Linked DNA regions of Rattus norvegicus. The protein of the gene in region 2 interacts with the protein of the main gene of each other region in a pairwise test. Links are inferred from orthologs where the notes say so. Each region holds a gene or a part of one and is shown on either strand. Other genes may lie near its edges.

Region 1 (3,053 bases), on a different chromosome or scaffold from region 2:
CTGGACCAGGCTCCGGTCTCAGGCATTGCACAACTCATCTAGTTCAGTATCTGCCTAGCGTGAGGCCACGTGGTACCTTTCACATTTCATCGCCCCGTTCATTCCATGTCAGTTCTGGGGCTGGGACTCCATACATGACAGATTTTCTGTGCAAGCCTAGAGAAACATACTCCATCTTTTAGCTTCTGAATCAAAAGGCCTTTTGAGCTTAACTGCTGTTTAGCCTTACAAAGTACTTTTCATAAAACCAGGCATGATGGCGCAAGTTTTAATCCCAGTACTCTGCACATAAATAGAGGCGACAGGATCAGAAATTCAAAGTCATTCCCAGCTAAAGAGTCCAAAGCCACCCTGGGCTTCATGAGACCCTGTTTCAAAACAACAGCAAAAGCAAAGTAGTTTGCAAACAGATACTGGCTTTCGATCGTAACGACATTATGAAAACATGGGGGCTCCCTTAACGCTGAGGTTCAAGAATAGTGAATTGGCCAAGATATGGAACTTTGCATTTTTGTAACAGACCTGGAGGCTCTTAAAAATATGAGTATGTAGGGTGGAGTGTTTGCTTATGCACAAAGCCTTGGGTCCAGTCTACACACACACTCTCCACCCTCCCTCAGTCTCCCCCATGATTGGCCTCTTTCCCGTTTCTGTGAGGTGAGGTCCCCAGCCTCTCTTTCTGTCAATAAAACCCATTCCAGAGTGTGTGCTCCTCCTGGAATTAGAGAGAGGACCCGGGACAAATCCAGACAAGCCCAGGGATATGTACATGGAAACTCTCAAGAAGCCTGGAGCTGGGAGGGCTGAGGTGGTGACAAAAGGGTTCTGCCAGGAAGATCAAGTGACATGGTGCTTTCCGTGGTTTGTCCTAGCAAGACCGTCCTGTTCCTGACACCAGTGTGGGTTTAAGGTAGATGCCCAGAATCCAGACCCCCACTTGTGTTTGTGACTGGGGGTCTGAGGTCTGTTGGAGTTTCCCTGCCCACCCTCCCCACAGGGCTCAGGCCCTAGGCCAGGGCTCAACAGACACAAGCAGTAAGATGGGGTTGCCCTTCTATTGGTCCAAGTCCTGAGCGTAGCCTGGGTGAGTCATGGAGGTGAGGAGGCCCACGAGGCTCAGCAGTGTGGAGAAGAGCAGCAGGAAGGAGGCAGCGAAGAGCAGAGCAGGCAGGGCACTGAGCACAAGCAGCAGGACAGCTGGCAGCAGGTGGCTCCACATGACAGCCACCACAGGCCACAGGGAGCTCAGCAGGTGGGAGCCAGTGGTGAAGAGTGCATGGCACAGCATCAGTGCCAGCAGCAGGTACAGTGTCCCCTCCAGACCCCATAGCATGCGCTGCAGTGGTTGCCTCCAGCCTGATGTATTCCACCACTGGGCCCAGCTCCGAGGTATGTGGCATACCCACCAGCGCACCCAGTCCTGACGGAGAACCCAGGCTGACCAGGGCGCTGCCCGCTGGGGCCCCTCGCCAGCCCCGATGATGTCCGTCTCCACTCGTGGCTGCTGCATCACGGCTGGTGCACCTGTGGATGGGGCCAGGCCAGCTGCAGGAGCAACCCTGGAGATGCCCAGGACCTTTGGATAGGAGGGCATGCAGGGGTCAGGAGGATACCAGCATGGGCAGGATTGGGCTTTGACCCGGGGGCTAGGACTCACCTTTGGGCAGAGCCACCTAAGTCATGGTGCTTCCTGTTGTGTGCAGGCTAACCTGGCAGCCAGGTCCCAGTCTCACCCTCGCTCACCCCACCATCCCCAGAGGGGTGCATTATGACCCGGGCTGGGGTGGGGCCCAGCCGAGAGAAGAGCTGCTGCAGTGTGAGACTCACTCACGTCTTTTACTCACGGCCCCTCCAGGCTGGCAGGAGAGCTCAGCAAGCCTCACAGATGCCATTCTCCTTGCTTGTAGGAAGCCTTCTCCACACCTGTCCCTCCTGGATGGCTGCCTCCAACTTCATGGCTGGCATTGGTTTCTGTAACCACCCTTTTCTCTGCCTTCTCTTAATGCCCTAAGCCTCAGACCCAGCTACCAAATGTTCATATTATGGAACTAGAAGGTTCAAGCTGAATATACTGGACTATTCTGTCCTTCCAACAGACAACCTTACCCTCACGTAGCTCAGGATGGAGGAGAAGAAATCAGAGAGCAGATTGGATGGTGTGTTTTTAGAAGGCATTCATCTTTTGGAGGCCCCTCAGGCCCACGGATGGATACAGAAAGCTAGGCCCAGCATGGCTAAGGGGATACCAGAGCCTCCCAAGAGCAGGCTGAGGCCCAGGAACAGCAGGAGCAGTGCATCCTGGAGTCTGAGCAGTCCCGAGACTCTCCCTGTTGGGGACAGGGGAGCTGCTTGCTGTCCTGGCCCTTCACCAGCCCCCTGGCTCTGACCTGTTGGGAGAAGTCTGTGCCGTGGCAGGTTGGGACCTGTGGATCTGTGGAGAGAGAAGATGGCAGCTCGAGGCAACTGCTCATTTGTCCCTGTGTTTGTGACACCTACCTGACAGGTGGCACTTACCCACGGAGCAGGTCAAAAACAAGGAAGCTGGACAGCAACAGGAGCAGCAGGGCTAGGCCAGCCGTTGAGAAGACTGTTCGAATCGTCACTCCTAGCGCCCCCAGCCCTAGGATACTGTCCAGGAGCTGGGCCTGGCTGAAGTCCCAGGGGACACACATGGCTCACTGACACTACTCAATCCCTCTCCAGTCTCCAGCCCCTCTGGAAGGAGGAAGTTGGCTGTAGAATAGTTCTGGGCATGAGTAAGCAGAGCCAGGTCCCAAAGGTTATTAGGGAGTCCTCGTGCTAGGAGATTGAGGATCAGTGAAGGGATACAACACTCCAGGGTGAGCTCAGTGAGTGAGGAACTAGCCTCTTTGGGGATCTCCCTCCCCCGACTCCCACCCAACATCCTCACCAACTCTCCTCACCTCCTCCTACTTGGGTTGACCATTCTAGATTTGAACACTCTGGGGCATTGTGACCTATTACCAGGCAGGGCCTTGAATTAAGGACAGGACAACAGTCTGTCTCGCCTCATAAGCACTGGTGGCCTAGGT
Region 2 (3,515 bases):
CAGGCAGCATCCCCAGTCATGGGCTTGTTCAGCTGCACATACAGCACTCAGATCCTAAGCGTACCCTGGCTGGGCTCAGCGTTCTGTCAAACAGTTTTTGGGTGTTTCTGGGCTCCCAGGCAAAACACAAATTCTACAATGGGGTTGGGGGATATTAAACAAATGTATGAAGGAACATTCTAGAAAAGAGGCCTCTGGCTCCTTCAGTTGCTGCACCAGACCCAGGAGCTGCCAACAGAGGGACAGGCTCCCACGGCAGGCAGATCAGGAGGTAAGAACACGCTCACCCAGATAGCCATCATGCTCTTGGCCTCCCAGGTTCTCTGAACCCAGGCCTGGTATGTGATTCTTGGAATCCCCTGCCCAGCTCAGCCTTCATCCAGAGCCAGGTAAACCTGGGGTAACTAACTCTGCGATGAGGGGAACTTCAGGTACCCTGCTCCTGCACCCAAGGACCTCACACAGCCTCTCCTACTGTGATGTGTCTAGAAGGCTTGTTCTCCACGTGTCCCTGAGAGAGAGTCACTGCTGGCAGTTTGACCTTCCTCCTGGCCTGTAGCAGCACACTGCCCATACACAGAAAGCCCTAGTACTTCTCAGTAAAGATGGTTTGCCATCAAGGAAGGGAAGTGACAGGGCACAGAACTCTCCCGCAGGCAAAGCAAAGGTACAGTGTGCAGGTTGGGAGCCTATTCTGGGTAACTCGGGAGCCTCTCCTAGCCTCTCCACTCTCAGGTCCCCTCTGGAGGTCACCAGAGAAGCAGTCACTCCACTCCCTACCATTAGCACATGTGGGAAGAGCAAGGCTTTTATCAACAGGGGCCTTCATGAGCAGGCTGGGTGATGGAGAGCAGGCCACACTCCCGCTGGTGCTGCTCTGCCTGCTGAAATCTCAGGGCCTGTTTACAACACAGGCTGGAAAGGGCCTCTGCAGAAGCAACCAGACAAGAGCACTGAGACACCAGGCCCTGTAGGCCAGGCCCTACCTGCACTCAGGAAGAACCCAGGGTCGTGTGTGTGCTAGGTAAGATCTCCGCTCCTTACACCACATCCTCAGCCCTAAACCCCACTTTAATTAATACACATGGCTAGTGTCCTTTGCGTGGGTACTAACAGCCTACTTCTGATGAATACCTGCCATCCAACAGCAGCCTCCCCCACAGGAGCTGCAGCCCAGGAAGAAGAGGAAGAGGAACAAAAAGGAAGAGGCAAAGCTCCCTGAGGTGTCTTCTCCCAGGTCCTCTGCTGCTAGGCGGGAAGATGGGTGCCTACTTATCGGGCAGGCAGCTCAGATGTCCCTGCACAGGACAGAGGTCTGTGCTCAGCTCCATCTCTGAATCTGTACAGAGCAGCAGCCATTCCCAGCATGTTCCTGTCAGATTCAGTGAAGAATCTGCTCTACCCCACACCACAAGCACCATGACAGACTGCTTCACTGAAGATCCAGAAACAGTGCCCACAGCTTGAACCTTCTGAACCTGCCTGTTGTTTCGGCCACAGGTTTGGCAACAATGGAGAGAAAAGAAAATAACTGATACAGACAGATATACAAGAGGAAGTACTTGCCAGGAAAGGGAAGACAGAAGGTCCTGGGCCTCCCTGGCCAACTCAGCACCAGCTCTGTCATGACCTTCCAGAACTGTTACGCAGCCATTGCTCCACGGCCAGTAAGCGAAACAAGCCAGCAAAGCTGGTCTTTTGCTGTTTACAGTGCCTGGACCTGGAGAACCCCAGAGGAGTGCTAAAGCTTCATAAACTGCACCCAGAACCCACATCACAGGACCCTGCTGCAAATGGCCAGCGCTCTCAACAAGACCTTTGCAGGTGAGTGAGCAGTGTGTCCACACACTCAGTGCCATTCCAGAAGAGCACAGGGATGGTAGGGTCAAAGGCTGCTTGCCTAAAAACAAGGACAGATGAAGTTCCAAGCCTGAAGCAAACTGAATGACTTTAACTGTCGGCAGCAAAGGGCCACAGTCTGTCAGAATCACACTAACAGTTACAGACTGTGGGATCTGGTAAACAGGTTCCCCAAATGGCTGGTCCCAGAGCAAAAGGTCCTCTAGGGAGCTAAAGGGCCCAGTGAGGCGCCAGTACTCGTGATATGTCTCCTTCCAGCAAAGACTGCTCAAGAACGACCGGCCAACTAGTCCAAGCTGTAGCTCGTGGCAAGGCACAGCCACACACCAGCCACAGGGATAAGCCAAGCTGAGGCTGGAATCCAGGAACCAGGTCATAACCCATGAGAAAACAGACCCTCAACAGCTACTTCATGGGCAACACTGCCACATACCACCCAATGCCAGCACAGCTGGATTCCCAATCACTTCCACCTTAATGTACAGTGGCCACCTCCACCTTCACAGGATAAACAGGGCAGGGCAGTAGAGGAGGGGCAGCACAGGGTACATGACCACCTCACCTCCAAAGTTGGCCAACCGCCCAATCCGGGTAACTGGCACCTTCCGCTCCCGAGCCCGCTCACTGAGCTGGAGGGAAAAAACAAAAGAGGCCTATAGGACTGACAAAACTAACGAATGAGCCAAGACAGCCTGAGGTGCATGCTGTGTGCACCTCCCCTCTCCACCCCTGCTGGCAGCACTGGACAAAAAGACTTCCACGTATTTCTAAAGTCACAGTGGGGGAGGGGTGTTGGCAGGGGGTAAAATGAGGGTCAACGCCAGCCTCACTGGGAGTAGAAACCACCCAAGTCCAACAGTGATGCCTCTCAGGCCTACCATCTGCTTGTGTGGCTTGCTCTCTGGGCGAGCCTTGGCCTGACGGGCCTTTTCAATGTCTTCAGCGGTGAGGCCTCCCACAGGGGCCTGGTCCTGGTGGAAGAATCTTCGCTGGATGCTGTTGGCCAAGAACAAGTCTCTACAATCTACAAAGAGCCTTCCATTGACTCTGCCCAGAGGAGAGGTAGCCTGGCCAGAGAGCCCTGCTTCCCTGAAAGGTCCACTGGAAACATAGGCAGGAGCTGGGCCCTCCCTGTGGGCATGACCCAGGGATGAAGACAGTGGCTGGTCCAGGGAGGAGGCTGTGGAGAAATCTGGGGAGCTTCCAGCTGCCTGTGGTGTTGAGAACTGAACTTCGGCTTCCAGATCTTCGAAGTTCTCAGTGGCATATGAATCTTCATGCTTATCCTGACCCTGAGGAGAACAAAGGCCAGTGTGAGGGGCAGGACTGGTCTGGCGAGGATACTTGCATGTGACTGCCAATCAGCCCTCTCTAACCCTCCAAAGGTGATTGATGCAGCCTAAGACCTGAGGTCCACTTCAAAGTCTAGGAGACCGCAAACAGCTCTCACATGCTTCTTCTAGAACCCTGCTGTGTGATCTCAGGCAGGAATCTATATACCACTGGTCCCTGCTATAGGACCAACCAAGGCCAGGGAAGATGCCCATGGCTGTAGCAACAGACTCCTCCTCTATAAAGCAGAGCCAGCACTGAGCCCATGGGGCTGTTAGGAGAGAAGCCAGGACAGATGAGGAAAGCCTGCAGAAGCATAAGTC
Region 3 (4,154 bases), on a different chromosome or scaffold from region 2:
CTAAGCTGCCTTCCTGGTCTTCTCTCTCCTCCCGTGTAATATTTTTGAGTTCCTATTACGTGCCTGAGAGGTACTCAGTCCTTTAAAGGCATCTTTTTCGTTGTCCTCAGTAAAACCCTGTGATTTCTCTTTTTACCCAAGAGTTTACCCATCTCCAGGATGCTATTGGTACAGGGCTCTGGGAGAGAGGTGGGTCACTCCAGGACTTTGGGTGAAAAGAGCCTGAGACCTGTTTAGCAGCAGACGAGTACCTGGGCTTGCCCTTCTCCTCATTTAATGGGTGAAAAAGATGTGGCTCAGAGCACTGTGTGGTTCAGCAACATTACACAGTGACACCTAGGCTTGGGCACTGAGATGGGGACTCCAGAGGCCCAGCCCATAGTTTTCTGCTGTAAGTTCATCAGCAGTGCTTCTGCCTACCTGATGGTTGATGATCGCACCCCATCCCCAACCCCTTGGAAGCATTTTAAGTTATTGCAACTGGGAGGGTCTGTTACTGTATTTTTTTATTTCATGGGTAGAGACCAGGAATGCCACTAAGCACCCCAGTGTGCTCACAAGACATCTCAGAAGCAGACTTCGTCCCATCTCAAATGCCAGTAGTATTAATATTGAGTAACTAACGGGGTTCCTCAGGCCTACATTTGAAACCGGGAAACATGGGTTTCTCTACCAAGCGTCCTTGAGAAGAGGATTTGTTTCTAGCTCTTTGTTTTTGTTTTTAAATCCGTAAAATGGAGATAATCCCTCTCTAAGATTCTCTGGCTGCCAACATTTGCGCCTGCATAATGGCTAGAACCTTCCAGTACAGGAGCTACCTAACTGATTGACTGGTGTGACTTGAACTCTAGGGGTGAATCCAGAACTAGTTCTGCCACTATAATCCCACCTCTAGTTGCCAATCCTCCTAAAATGTGGCCCCAGAACTTTCACTCCAAGCCACCGGTGTAGGAAGAGACTGTCTCCAGACAGTCATTTACTCATTAGTCATCCACTAGAGCCTAAAAGTTTGTGGGGGTTGTTCCTAGAGTGTGTAGGAAGAAGCGGGCTGCCTAGCAAAGGTGTCAAGCCGAGCAGCTAGACGTCTGGATACACTACTCTTCCTGGCCAGGCTGGGAAAGCGCGGCGGGGACTTGAGCCTGGGGCGAGGGCCAGGGTTGGTCCTCCGCGAGAAGGGGCGAGGGGCGGAGCCTCGGCGAGGGGCGTGACAGAAGGGCGGGGCTTCGGTAGAGGAAGAGCGCTTGTTGGTGAGGTGGAGCGAGTCCGGTTCCTTCCCCAAGTCAGGCCTGTGCCTCTTTTCTTCCTTCCACTTCGCTTTGCGCCCTCTGTGGCTACGGGGCGGGGTATTGCGGCAGCCAGCACCAGGTGAGAGAGCAAAGCTGGGGTGTGAAGTAGAGGACCCCGGCTGGCTGAACCCTCCAAGCTCGGCCTAGGAAGCGGGGGAGTGCAGGGGCGGTCGCGGGAGAATGCACTAGCTTCCTCAGCCTGTTGCCACCCGCCTATGGGTTGGTGATGAACTTTGCCTGTCTCCTTGAGTTGCTGGGCGCGGCTAGGAGCTCGCAGGGAGATCTCATCCACCATTTCCAGCCATCTCCATGCTTACACACTGGCAGCTAGATTGGGGAGGGGACGGGATGGGGAGGAGCCACCAATGCCAACCCACCGGAGAGGCCCTACCTTCCCTCTTGAGTGGGAAGAAGTGGAGTCTGGTCTGAGCATCCTCACCTTCTCCAACAGGGGTGCCATGCGCCACAGCAGGAGGGAGCTACAGGTGTCAAAGGTGGGTTTGCCCCAAGTGATTAGTGACAAGATCCCCAATTGCCCTGAGTTCCGATCTCTTAGTTTCTGTGCCCCATAGTCGTGATCAGACCCATCCACTTCACACCGGTTTCTTTCTCTGTGGATCCCTGGCCTTAGAATTGAAAGCCTCAACCCTCATCGGAAATGGGGTCCAGAATAAATTCCCAGGAGCCCCGAAGGCCCTGCCCCCATCTGGGGATTCGACCCGACTGGCAGCTGGAACGTTCGCGATGGCGGTTTGTTTGCAAGATGCGAGACTCGGAAGCCAAAGCTTTATTTGGAACCTTAAAAGGGGCGGGGCGCGATCTCAGAGAACTTGACTAGGCCCCCTAAAACTGAGAGTAGGCGGGGCACCTACTCTCCCCCTAGGCTGGTTGGGGTGGTGCAGTCCCACCTTCCCTGTGGTGCTGCTCAGAGTCTGCAGAGGACCCTAGAAGGAGTAAATGGTCAGGAAATTGTTGACTGCGGTCCTCCTCCGCATTCTTCCTACCCTTGCTTTCAGCAGGCTCTCCAGACCGGTTCAGTGGCGTTTCCCAGGCCAAAGAAGAGTTGTAAGGGTGTAGTTTGATTTGTTGTAGCCCACTGTGGAAATGAGATTAGGTAAACTGAAGCCTGAGGCCATCCTATATTCAATCTTAGCGCCAGCTGCTGCTTTAACAACATAAATAATGATGCAGGCGTTGATTCTCTCCTGACCAAGGGGAGAGACTCTTTAGCTGGTGTCATGAAGGTTTGCTTACTAGACTCTGTGGTGTAGACACTGGTAAGGTGTGTTTCCTCATGTAATACCAAATAGGCAAGTGGTATATCCAGTTATTTTGGGCACTGTGACGGAATCTACTGAGCACAGGTCTATAACGTATATAAGGCTAGCTGCAAGGAGATCCTATTTTTTTTCCAACCCAGACATATGTTCTAGGAGACATAAACTAAGAATAATACATTAATAAGAATAATATTTTTATTTGAAAACCCAACCAGGGTTAAAAGCATATTTAATTTGATACATTGTCATAATGAAAAATGCAGAAACAGTGTGAGAAAGAGACTGTCTTATAAATTCCAGGCTGCTGTTGAGTCACAGAAAATAATTGTGCCAAGGCCTTGGGGACAGGTCTGTGAAGGCCTTACCACACATAAATAAAGTATGGCATTGTGCAAGGTTCTTAGGAGCCAAAGAAAGAAGAGAAAGTACCTCAGGTCCCTGCTGTAGGAGCAAAGAAAGCCTGGAGTTACGGTAGGGTGCGTAGGGAGAAGGGGTGGGGTGGTGAGTTCTGAATAGTACATTCAGTTTTCTTGTTTGGCATAAGTTCTTGGAGATTACTCTTTCTAGCTCTTTTTCTACAGTGTGTGTGTGTGTGTGTGTGTGTGTGTGTGTGTGTGTGTGAGAGAGAGAGAGAGAGAGAGAGAGAGAGAGAGAGAGAGAGAGACTGAAGTGTTAATGATAAATGAATTTAGTTTTTTTCCTGACATCTTACTAGTCATTTTATAATCAGGAATATGATATACATCCTTTGGGTATGTTTTTCACACATCTATTTATCTTATTTACATTCCTGAAAAATAAATTGCTGGATCAAAGTGCGTACAGCTGAAATTTTTGATAAATATTGTCAAATTATGTCCATTTACATGCCTGCCATTGATGTATTAGGGATGGCACAAGCTCCTTGGAGATTGCTGAAAATTCAAGAATTTTTTGTCCGTTTGTTTCCTTCAGTGATAGCAAGAGCTGGGGTGACATGAGAGATTGGGCTACGTGCTACAGTAATGCAGTTCCTGGTAGAGGGTCTACTGTAGAGTGAGACTGACGAACATTTCAAGATGGCCGAGGAAGAGCCCCCGAGTGTCTCCAGAGACTTACAGGAGCTGCAGAGGAAGCTGGGTTTGCTGTTAGAGTCTTTCCAGAATAACTCAAAGGTCAGTGCCCAATGCCATACATAATGGGAAACCCGGAATAACACTGGTCTGAACAAGACTGGACATTGGTTCTTTCTCAAAAGGAATTTACAAGTAAGTCAGGAATCTTTCTGCTGGCACCCTGCTATGTCTGATTCCTGACCTGCTTATCCACGATCACTGTGACTGCTAGAGCATCAGCCAGCATATTGACATGCAGGGCAATAGGACAGCAGGCAGGCGGGAAGAAACATTATTTTTAAGGCACCTCCAAATTAGAGAAGATTCCTGGAAGTCGGAGAATCACAAAACACTAGCTAAATCCCATATAATGCAGAATTTGGTTATAGAGTGACCCCTTGTGGTAACTGCCATTTTTGGCTGGATCTAAAGAAGCCATTCTTGGTGTATACAGCAGACACTATCCTTCTTTGAAATGTTTGGCTCTTCTGTTC
Region 4 (3,952 bases), on a different chromosome or scaffold from region 2:
TATGGGTCCCCTGTGAGCCAAAGCAGATTCCCCGAAGATGGAATCAGGGGCAGTGTGAGCTGCCAGCCGTGGCACTGGCTGGGAGCCACACTCAGGTCTGCTGGAGCAGTGCTCAATCTTCATTGCTACTGAGTCCTCTTCCAGCCCACATTTAACGCTCATGTGGTCCGTTCAACTCAAACCTGTAGCTGAAGACTTGCCACTGTCAGTAGTTGATTATGAGTTCAAATTGGGATGCAATGATCTCACTTCCCTTTGACACTTTCAAAAATGGCGCTATTGCTGCGTGCAAGAACAATCTGTAGAGTGGCTCATCCCTTTCACCCTTCATGTAGGAACCTGGTGATGGAACGCAGCTAACCAGGCTTGCCCTGCAGACATCTCCACCTCTAAGCCATCACACTGGGCCCCTTTCACAACCGAAAAGACTGTCTCAGCTCCCTGCTTGCTTTAGAGTGGTACAGTTCTTATCTAGCGTGCATGTAAAACACACACGGCATTTGTTTTAGATACTCTTTCAAGTGTAAAACTCAAACAGAACAACCCAGATAGATAAAAATCCTAATTAAAATTAATCAAAAAATCATAAGTAAAATTAAACAAAATATTCTGAGTGAGGTCAGCTGGGAGGCACATGCTGTTTTCTTGCCTTGAGAGACAGCATCTTACTATGTAGCCCAGGCCGTACTACCACACGTCCCCTGTGGACGACGCCTTCATTTGGGCCAACAGTCTTCTCCAGAGTGACCTTCCCTGACCCCCCCTGTTCTCTAGTGCCCTGCAAGTGTTCCTTGGCACAGCATGGTCCCACAGCTGCCATGCCTGTGGTGGACCAGCACGTCTCTGTCCATATCCTGCTCCCGTCACACAGTAATTGCTAAGGAGGATGTTGCCATCCCAGCTCAACAGTACAGAGCAGGATGCTGTAGTGTCTGGACAGGAGCAGGGCAGGAAACTCTTCTAGGGTGTCCTCCTGACCCTCCAGACCAAGGGCATGCAGCCCAGCACACAGTACCGTTTGCCTCCGAAGCTGGGCCTCTCCTCGTCTGAGTCACGCTCAGCCCACACTCCATAGGTGGCCTCCTCTTTGGTCTGCCAATGACGCTGCCGGTTGGGGTTGAACTCATTCTGGAGATCCCAGTCAGTGATCTCAAAGTTCTCACGCTCGTCATCGTCATCATCAAGGTGGCCTTCCCCATCCCGGTACAAGTGGGACAGAGACATGGCCAGTCACTACAAGAAGAGGGGACAAGAACAGCACTGTGAGAACCCACGGCCAGCAGAAGATCCTCCGGAGTCAAAAAGCTATGAGCCTCATAATACAACTCAGTAAAGCAGCCATTAAACACAGGATAAAATGACCAGCTCTGCAACAAGTGAGACGAGTCAGACCCGGTCATCACAGGGGTCTAAGGAACAATGCCTTTTCAGAGTCAAACATAGTGCATGCATGGGGTGGGGCCACAGACAGACGGCAGACATGCCACAGAAAGGAAGCAACAGCTCCATGTGCTATTACCTCAGAAACCAAGTTGGTCCTTTCCTTCTCCAGGGAAGTTGTACCTAGCTGATTTGCAGTTCCAGGGAAACTTTAGAGCATTTTCTGAAATACTGTCTCACAAAACTGAAGGTTTCCTTCCCAAACCTGAATGGCTTCTGAGGGATTGGAAGGAGGTGGTCTTTCTGGACGACACTTCACAGTCACGCCTAGAGGGTGTAGAGTAAACAAAGTGTTCTACCCAGGTTATCTACTTAGCTCTCTCTCATAACTGCATTCATTCAGTTCCAGAAGTAGCTTGCAAGCACTAAAACAATCCTTTAGAAAGACAAAGGCAGTCCATCTCAGTAATTTCAAAGCCAACCTGGTCTCAAAACAGACAAAACAACAAAAGCTGAACTCCCTGCAGGTGCTCAAGAAACAGCACCCTCACCAGGCAGGATGATGACCATCTTTGATTCTAGGAATAGGGAGGCAGAGACAGGTGGATCTGAGTTCAAAGCCAGTCCAGGACAGTTCCAGGACAGACAGGGCTGGCTGTTACACAGAGAAATTCTGTCTCGAAAAAAAACAGTAAACAAGGTGGGGGGAGGGGAGAAAAAGAAAAAAAGAAAGAAAAAAAAGTAAGAAAAAAGCATCTTCTACTTCCGTCCCGTGGTCAGGTGGTTTCAGGATCACCGTCATTACCAGTCAGGGCTGAGAAGTGAACCCTTCAAAATGACTGTGAAAATCAGGAACACTCAACACTACCGCCTGAGTTTAAATCACGCTTCTATGAACACCTCTGTGTGTGGGTATCACATACAAAGGCCCCGACACTGCACAGCAATGTCCTCACTATGTGACTCCATGGTGTACAGATGCACCAGTAATTGACAGCGGAGAAAGCGCTCCGTTGTTATAAACATCTCCCTACTCCTCACTATGCACCGGTTCATCACAACAGGTCTCAACCTCAGCTAAGAGTTGAGCGCAAAGTTCTCAAAGGAGCAGGAAGCCCTGGGCTCATGAGATTACCACCTCCCCAGCACAGGGGATAGTAAAAATCCCACAGTGGTCAGGAGACACTCAGCTTACCCGCGTTCGGGGCTGGTTATTTAGTGTCAGCGTCAGGACGCTCCCAGGTCCCGTCCCGCGGCGGGCCGGGCTGGAGACCTGGGCGCGGGGAGAGCATGGGACCGCCGCCATAGAGCATCAGCCCGCCCTCCGGGCCATCCCGCCACCCCGCCGCCCGCTCACCTCACTCAGCACCCGTGAATCACACAACTTCGGTCCACCTTCCCAGAGCCTGCGAGGGACCCGCTAGCCGAAACCCGGATGTGACCTGCCGGCGCACAGGAAGTGCGTCACTCGCTGGCGGAAATGGCGCGCTGTTGCCCCGGCAGCGACTTAACGCTAAGGGGGCGTGTCTGAGTACTGGAAGGCCTCGCTCTGCTTCCGGTTCCCATCGGAACTGAGGCCGAGTGGATGTCTGGTCCCTCTGCAAGCACTGGGGTCTTGGTTTGTCAAAGGCGGAGAAGGTGTTATCCCAAGGAAGCCACCGCCGGATAGAACCGCCGTGCCCATAGTGCCTGAACCAGCGTCACGGGGACCCTGAGTGATTAAAATGTCCTCAGGACCCCATGTCGCGAGAAGGAAAGGCTAAGGGCCCAGCCCCAGAGGAAGAGCTTGGCTGCCGGAGGTCCTCGCGTTGTAATCGGCGAGCGTGCTTCCTGGCTTTTGCTTTATCTTTTCTGTAACTCTGTAAACAGGAAAGGCAGAGGAACCGAAGAACTTATCTCTAGGCAGCTGTGCACAGCCTGTAATAAATTTGTTTTTTCTTTGTCAATCCCTGGCCCTATTTTGTTCTGAAATACCTGATTCTTGGGTTGTCTCTGTTAGGATAAACCAGTGTGGGCCTGGAACAGTTTAAGGAATGAGTTTCCGAAGGAGTGCCCGGGCGTTCTCGCCAGGAAGCAGTTTTCCTCGCTGCTGTAGTTATTTCTCTGGTGCTGAGAAAGAAAGGAGTTGGGCTTTTTTGTTGGTTTGGTTTGGTTTGGTTTTGGTTTTTGGTTTTTTCAAGACAGGGTTTCTTTGTGTCCCTGGCTGTTTTGGAACTCAACTCTGTAGATCAGGCTGGCCTCGAACTCGGAGATATGCCCGCCTCTGCCTCCTGAGTTCTGGGATTAAAGGCATGCACCACCACTGGCCCACAGGACGGGGGCATAGTTCATCTTACACTCTACACATCTTACAAATCTACACATAGTCTGATGCCATCTCTGGTTCTGAAACACGCTCGTTTTCTCTAGTACACTAAAAGGCTGCGTCTTGGTGGGTTTTGTTGTTGGTTGGATTTTTGTTTTTCCCCATCAGCTTGATACACACTAGAGTTATATGGGAAAAGGAACCTCAGTGCTTCCATCATCCTGATGGTCTACAGGCAAGACTGTGGGGTGGTTTGCTTGATGAATG
Region 5 (3,515 bases), on a different chromosome or scaffold from region 2:
TAAGTCTAATTAGATGTTGGCTATTGTATAATCTCTAAAACTTTATAGTTCAGAAACCTGGCAATATAGATCTCTGCACAAAAGCAATTATTCTAAAGTTAAACTTGTTATTTGGGTATTTTTTTTAGATTTTATCTTTAGAAGAGAAATTTATAAATTTAATATATAGTGAAGTTGCCTTTAACCTACTCTGAAATTACATTTATGATTTTAAAATCAGGGATATGTAGCTAGGGAAATATGGATACAGAGTATTTAAGGTCTAAGAGTGATACTTGACAACCTTTGGCATGAACATGTAATTCTCTCGTACAGAGTCTAAACATAGACACAGAGCTTAAGGCCTTGGAACAGTCTGCAGACTGACTGGCAGTGTTGTCCACAGCAGCTAACGTCTTTTCCTTCCAGTGGGCTGGGGTACACACATGTGCAGATGCATGCAGTACCAGAGCTCATGTTTGGGTTCTTCCTAATTACAGTGGACAGGTTTGGGGTTTTGTTTTCTTTTTTTTCGGTTTTTGTTTGTTTCTTTGTTTTGTTTTTTGAAAAATCCAAAGGTGGTAATGGAAATACTTCAGAAGTTGGCTAAAATGTTAATTGTAACACATAACAGGGTTGGTTTGTAATATAAAATATATAAGTTAGAGATTGTCAAAATAATACTGCTTTTTTGGCAGTCTCCTGCAAACCCCCAAGAACTGCAAAGCAGAACCTAAAACCTTTTAGTTGGCCAGGAGCATGCCTTTATCTCAGAACTTGGGAGGCAGAGGCAGAAAAGTATCTGTGAGTGTGAGGCAAGCCTGATCTACTTAGTCAGTTCCAAGTAGCCAGAGCTAGACAGAGAGAGCCTACCTCAAAACAAAACCAAAACTAAAACCTTTACTAAAACCTAATTGAGTCATTTTGAATTATCTGTCCATGAAACACTGACCAGGTTCCTAATTGTGATTTTCAGCTCTAATTTCTTTTTACCTAATAAGTCAAGAGTTCAAAGGTGATAATCCTGCGTTGTTTTAATTCAGTAAATAAATACGTAGTATATTAGCAAACATTGCTTTATTTCATTAAGTTATTCATGAGCTCTGAACTTATGCAGGCATTTCTGCTATGATATTGTATATTTATGCATAGTTTTTTAAAAATATCTAAATTGTAGGACTTTGAGGAAAGATTAAAGGTTACTTTATCCATGCAATTTTATAACTAGAGCACAAAACAACCACCCTGACTTACTTCCTGGAAAACAATGGAGAAAAGGCTCGAGCGGATACTGTGCCATACGCCTCCACTCGCCTGCCCGCCACTCACTGAGCTCACTTGTCATTCAGAAAACCAACTGCAGACCGACTCTTCTACACGTGTGTGGCCGGGGTAGAAAAAGATCCAGTAGTAGTGTTAAAGTATAGTTGTGCATAATTTAAATGTTAGTGAATGATCAAGAAATGCTGCCCTGCGTGTGTGGTGTCCAAAGACAAGAAGCCTTCCTCAAGGCTTGCATACTTAATTTTTAAAGGTTATAACAATTTAACTACAATGGCACACACAGGATTATTAGTATTTTTATAATACTTGAAGTTTAAGACAATGAAAGTTTATAGTGTGCTCACAATAGCACTGGGGAAAGGAAAACACACACTGTTACCTTTGCCCTTTGGTTTTGATATTTATAGAGCTCCTTAACCCAACTAGGAGAAGGGAACAGTCAACTAATGGACTGGGGGCTCCCAGAGACTGAGCCACCAACCAAAGAGCACACGTGGGCTGGACATAGGCCCCACCCTATATGTAGCAGCTGTGCAGCTTGGTCTTTGCGTGGGTCCCCCAACAACTAAGGGGGTGGGGTGTGGCACTGTCCCTGAGTTTGCTGCCTGCCTGTGGATCCTGTTTCTCTAACTGGGCTGCCTTGTCTAGCCTCACTGGAAGAGGATACACTTGGCCCTGCAGTGACTTGATGAGCCAGGGTAGGTTGCTGGGGGTGGCGTGTGTGGGGGGTGTCCCCTTATCAGAAGAGAAAGGGAGGGGAGGAGGGATGGGGAGGGGCTAAATGAGGTGGAGACTGGGAGGAGGGGCTACAGTCAGGATGTAAAGGGAATAAATAAATGGTGGGGAAAAGGACTAGATGCAATCCATTTGGTTGTAGTTCAAACTCCACTTCAGACAGTCTGCTATGCTGCACAAGAGGCTCACTTAGCAATTCCACTCTGCAAACTAGTGCACAGCTCATCTGCAAGGCTGATCCTCAACACTGTGGTTATCTAAAAATCAAGTTCAAACTTAGGGGAAAATAGCAAACTGAAAACAGCCTCTTCTCTAGAAAGGCCTACATAATGTTAACTGTGGATCTGTTAGGGGGTATGTAGAAGTGTGCATCAGCTCTTCTAAATCACATACATAAAAGCTACAGACCCTGAAGACACAGAAGACACCATTTTCAACCTGAGAGCCATGGGCTGCAGCACTCAGGGCGGGAAGTGGGGGCCTTACTTGGATTTGGCTGCAACAGCACCTCAGTCTGCTTCATTATCTTCTCTGTCCACACTTTGGTGCACTCCGCCTTGCTGAGGAGATTTTCCAGGTGAGCATCCAGTTCTGTCTTCTCTGCTTGGCCAAGCTTTTCCTCTGTGAACTGTCAGCATTTAAAACACGAGTGTAGTATATCAACACACCTCACATACACAGGACACAGCCAAAGAGTAAAAGTCAAATCCAAACGATTCTAGACGTGCAAACAGGTCCACTCCAGGCTTGTTTATAAGTCACTGCTTTCAGCGCTGTTTGTGTCCGTGGTCACTTATCCACCCTCCTACATCCTACCACAGGATTTACCATGACTATCTCATTCCTCTGATAAACTGCATGGTCTGACTCGGACTTCAGACCCTGACTGTATGCTAATCGACACAGGCAAACTTTTCAGAATTTCCCCCTTTTGTATCATCTATCATAAAGGTGACACAATGAACATGTACTTTTAAGATGAGGTTTTACTGTGCCGCTCAGAATGGTTTGCACTTTTATTGTCTCAGCTTCTCAAACAATAATTGTTTTAAGGATTAAGTATGACTGTCTATAGAAATAAATCTCTCTGCTTAGAGCCTTGTAATTATTATTCAATTTTAGAATATTTTAATTCTTTTATGACTTATGTATTATTTTTAAGTTTAACTACACCCAAGTTAGACTTTCATGGGATCCTCTGAGCAGGCATCCTTTGGGCTTTTCTTCAGGGTTTGCTCCAACAATGTGTTTACAGGCTACTTTCTGCTATGATATTCACACAGCAGAAGTATTCTTTTTTTATAAGATTTATTTTTAAAAAAGAATTTATATGTGTGTGAGAACATGAGAGTGTAGGTGCCCACAGAGTCCAGAAGAGAGCACTGAAGTCCTCAAGTTGGATTAGTGGGAGTTGCCGGTCACCAGACATAGGTGTTAAGTATTGGAATCAGGTTCTGTCTGCAAGAGCGTAAGCAGCATCTTAATTCGCTGAGGTCTCTCTCCAGCCCCAAAGCGTA

The links.
Region 1: the proteins of Coq8a (region 2) and Tmem239 interact in binary tests that used the Homo sapiens proteins (3 or more experiments, as listed by UniProt). The two-hybrid records come from large-scale screens. The link is inferred for Rattus norvegicus from reciprocal best matches to the Homo sapiens genes COQ8A and TMEM239.
Region 3: the proteins of Coq8a (region 2) and Ldaf1 interact in binary tests that used the Homo sapiens proteins (3 or more experiments, as listed by UniProt). The two-hybrid records come from large-scale screens. The link is inferred for Rattus norvegicus from reciprocal best matches to the Homo sapiens genes COQ8A and LDAF1.
Region 4: the proteins of Coq8a (region 2) and Tfip11 interact in binary tests that used the Homo sapiens proteins (3 or more experiments, as listed by UniProt). The two-hybrid records come from large-scale screens. The link is inferred for Rattus norvegicus from reciprocal best matches to the Homo sapiens genes COQ8A and TFIP11.
Region 5: the proteins of Coq8a (region 2) and Sh3glb1 interact in binary tests that used the Homo sapiens proteins (3 or more experiments, as listed by UniProt). The link is inferred for Rattus norvegicus from reciprocal best matches to the Homo sapiens genes COQ8A and SH3GLB1.

What each region holds. Positions count from the first base shown.
Region 1 is NC_086021.1:138,056,538-138,059,590, reverse strand, and holds Tmem239 (transmembrane protein 239), read right to left. Parts: upstream 1,715-3,053; 5' UTR 1,658-1,714; intron 1,577-1,657; exon of another isoform or gene 1,525-1,576; 5' UTR 1,511-1,524; coding exon 1,055-1,510; 3' UTR 501-1,054; downstream 1-500. Other genes in the region: uncharacterized protein C20orf141 homolog, read right to left, coding at 2,194-2,431, 2,515-2,672.
Region 2 is NC_086031.1:94,446,366-94,449,880, forward strand, and holds part of Coq8a (atypical kinase COQ8A, mitochondrial), read right to left. Parts: intron 3,153-3,515; coding exon 2,739-3,152; intron 2,490-2,738; coding exon 2,423-2,489; intron 1-2,422. UniProt on the Homo sapiens protein: Atypical kinase involved in the biosynthesis of coenzyme Q, also named ubiquinone, an essential lipid-soluble electron transporter for aerobic cellular respiration.
Region 3 is NC_086019.1:183,914,580-183,918,733, forward strand, and holds the start of Ldaf1 (lipid droplet assembly factor 1), read left to right. Parts: upstream 1-1,339; 5' UTR 1,340-1,365; intron 1,366-1,737; 5' UTR 1,738-1,780; intron 1,781-3,520; 5' UTR 3,521-3,624; coding exon 3,625-3,720; intron 3,721-4,154. UniProt on the Homo sapiens protein: Plays an important role in the formation of lipid droplets (LD) which are storage organelles at the center of lipid and energy homeostasis. In association with BSCL2/seipin, defines the sites of LD formation in the endoplasmic reticulum.
Region 4 is NC_086030.1:49,969,448-49,973,399, forward strand, and holds the start of Tfip11 (tuftelin-interacting protein 11), read right to left. Parts: upstream 2,811-3,952; 5' UTR 2,738-2,810; intron 2,687-2,737; exon of another isoform or gene 2,576-2,686; intron 1,708-2,575; 5' UTR 1,520-1,707; intron 1,234-1,519; 5' UTR 1,225-1,233; coding exon 1,016-1,224; intron 1-1,015. UniProt on the Homo sapiens protein: Involved in pre-mRNA splicing, specifically in spliceosome disassembly during late-stage splicing events. Intron turnover seems to proceed through reactions in two lariat-intron associated complexes termed Intron Large (IL) and Intron Small (IS).
Region 5 is NC_086020.1:236,435,128-236,438,642, forward strand, and holds part of Sh3glb1 (endophilin-B1), read right to left. Parts: intron 2,627-3,515; coding exon 2,485-2,626; intron 1,353-2,484; exon of another isoform or gene 1,325-1,352; coding exon of another isoform or gene 1,234-1,324; intron 1-1,233. UniProt on the Homo sapiens protein: May be required for normal outer mitochondrial membrane dynamics. Required for coatomer-mediated retrograde transport in certain cells. May recruit other proteins to membranes with high curvature. May promote membrane fusion.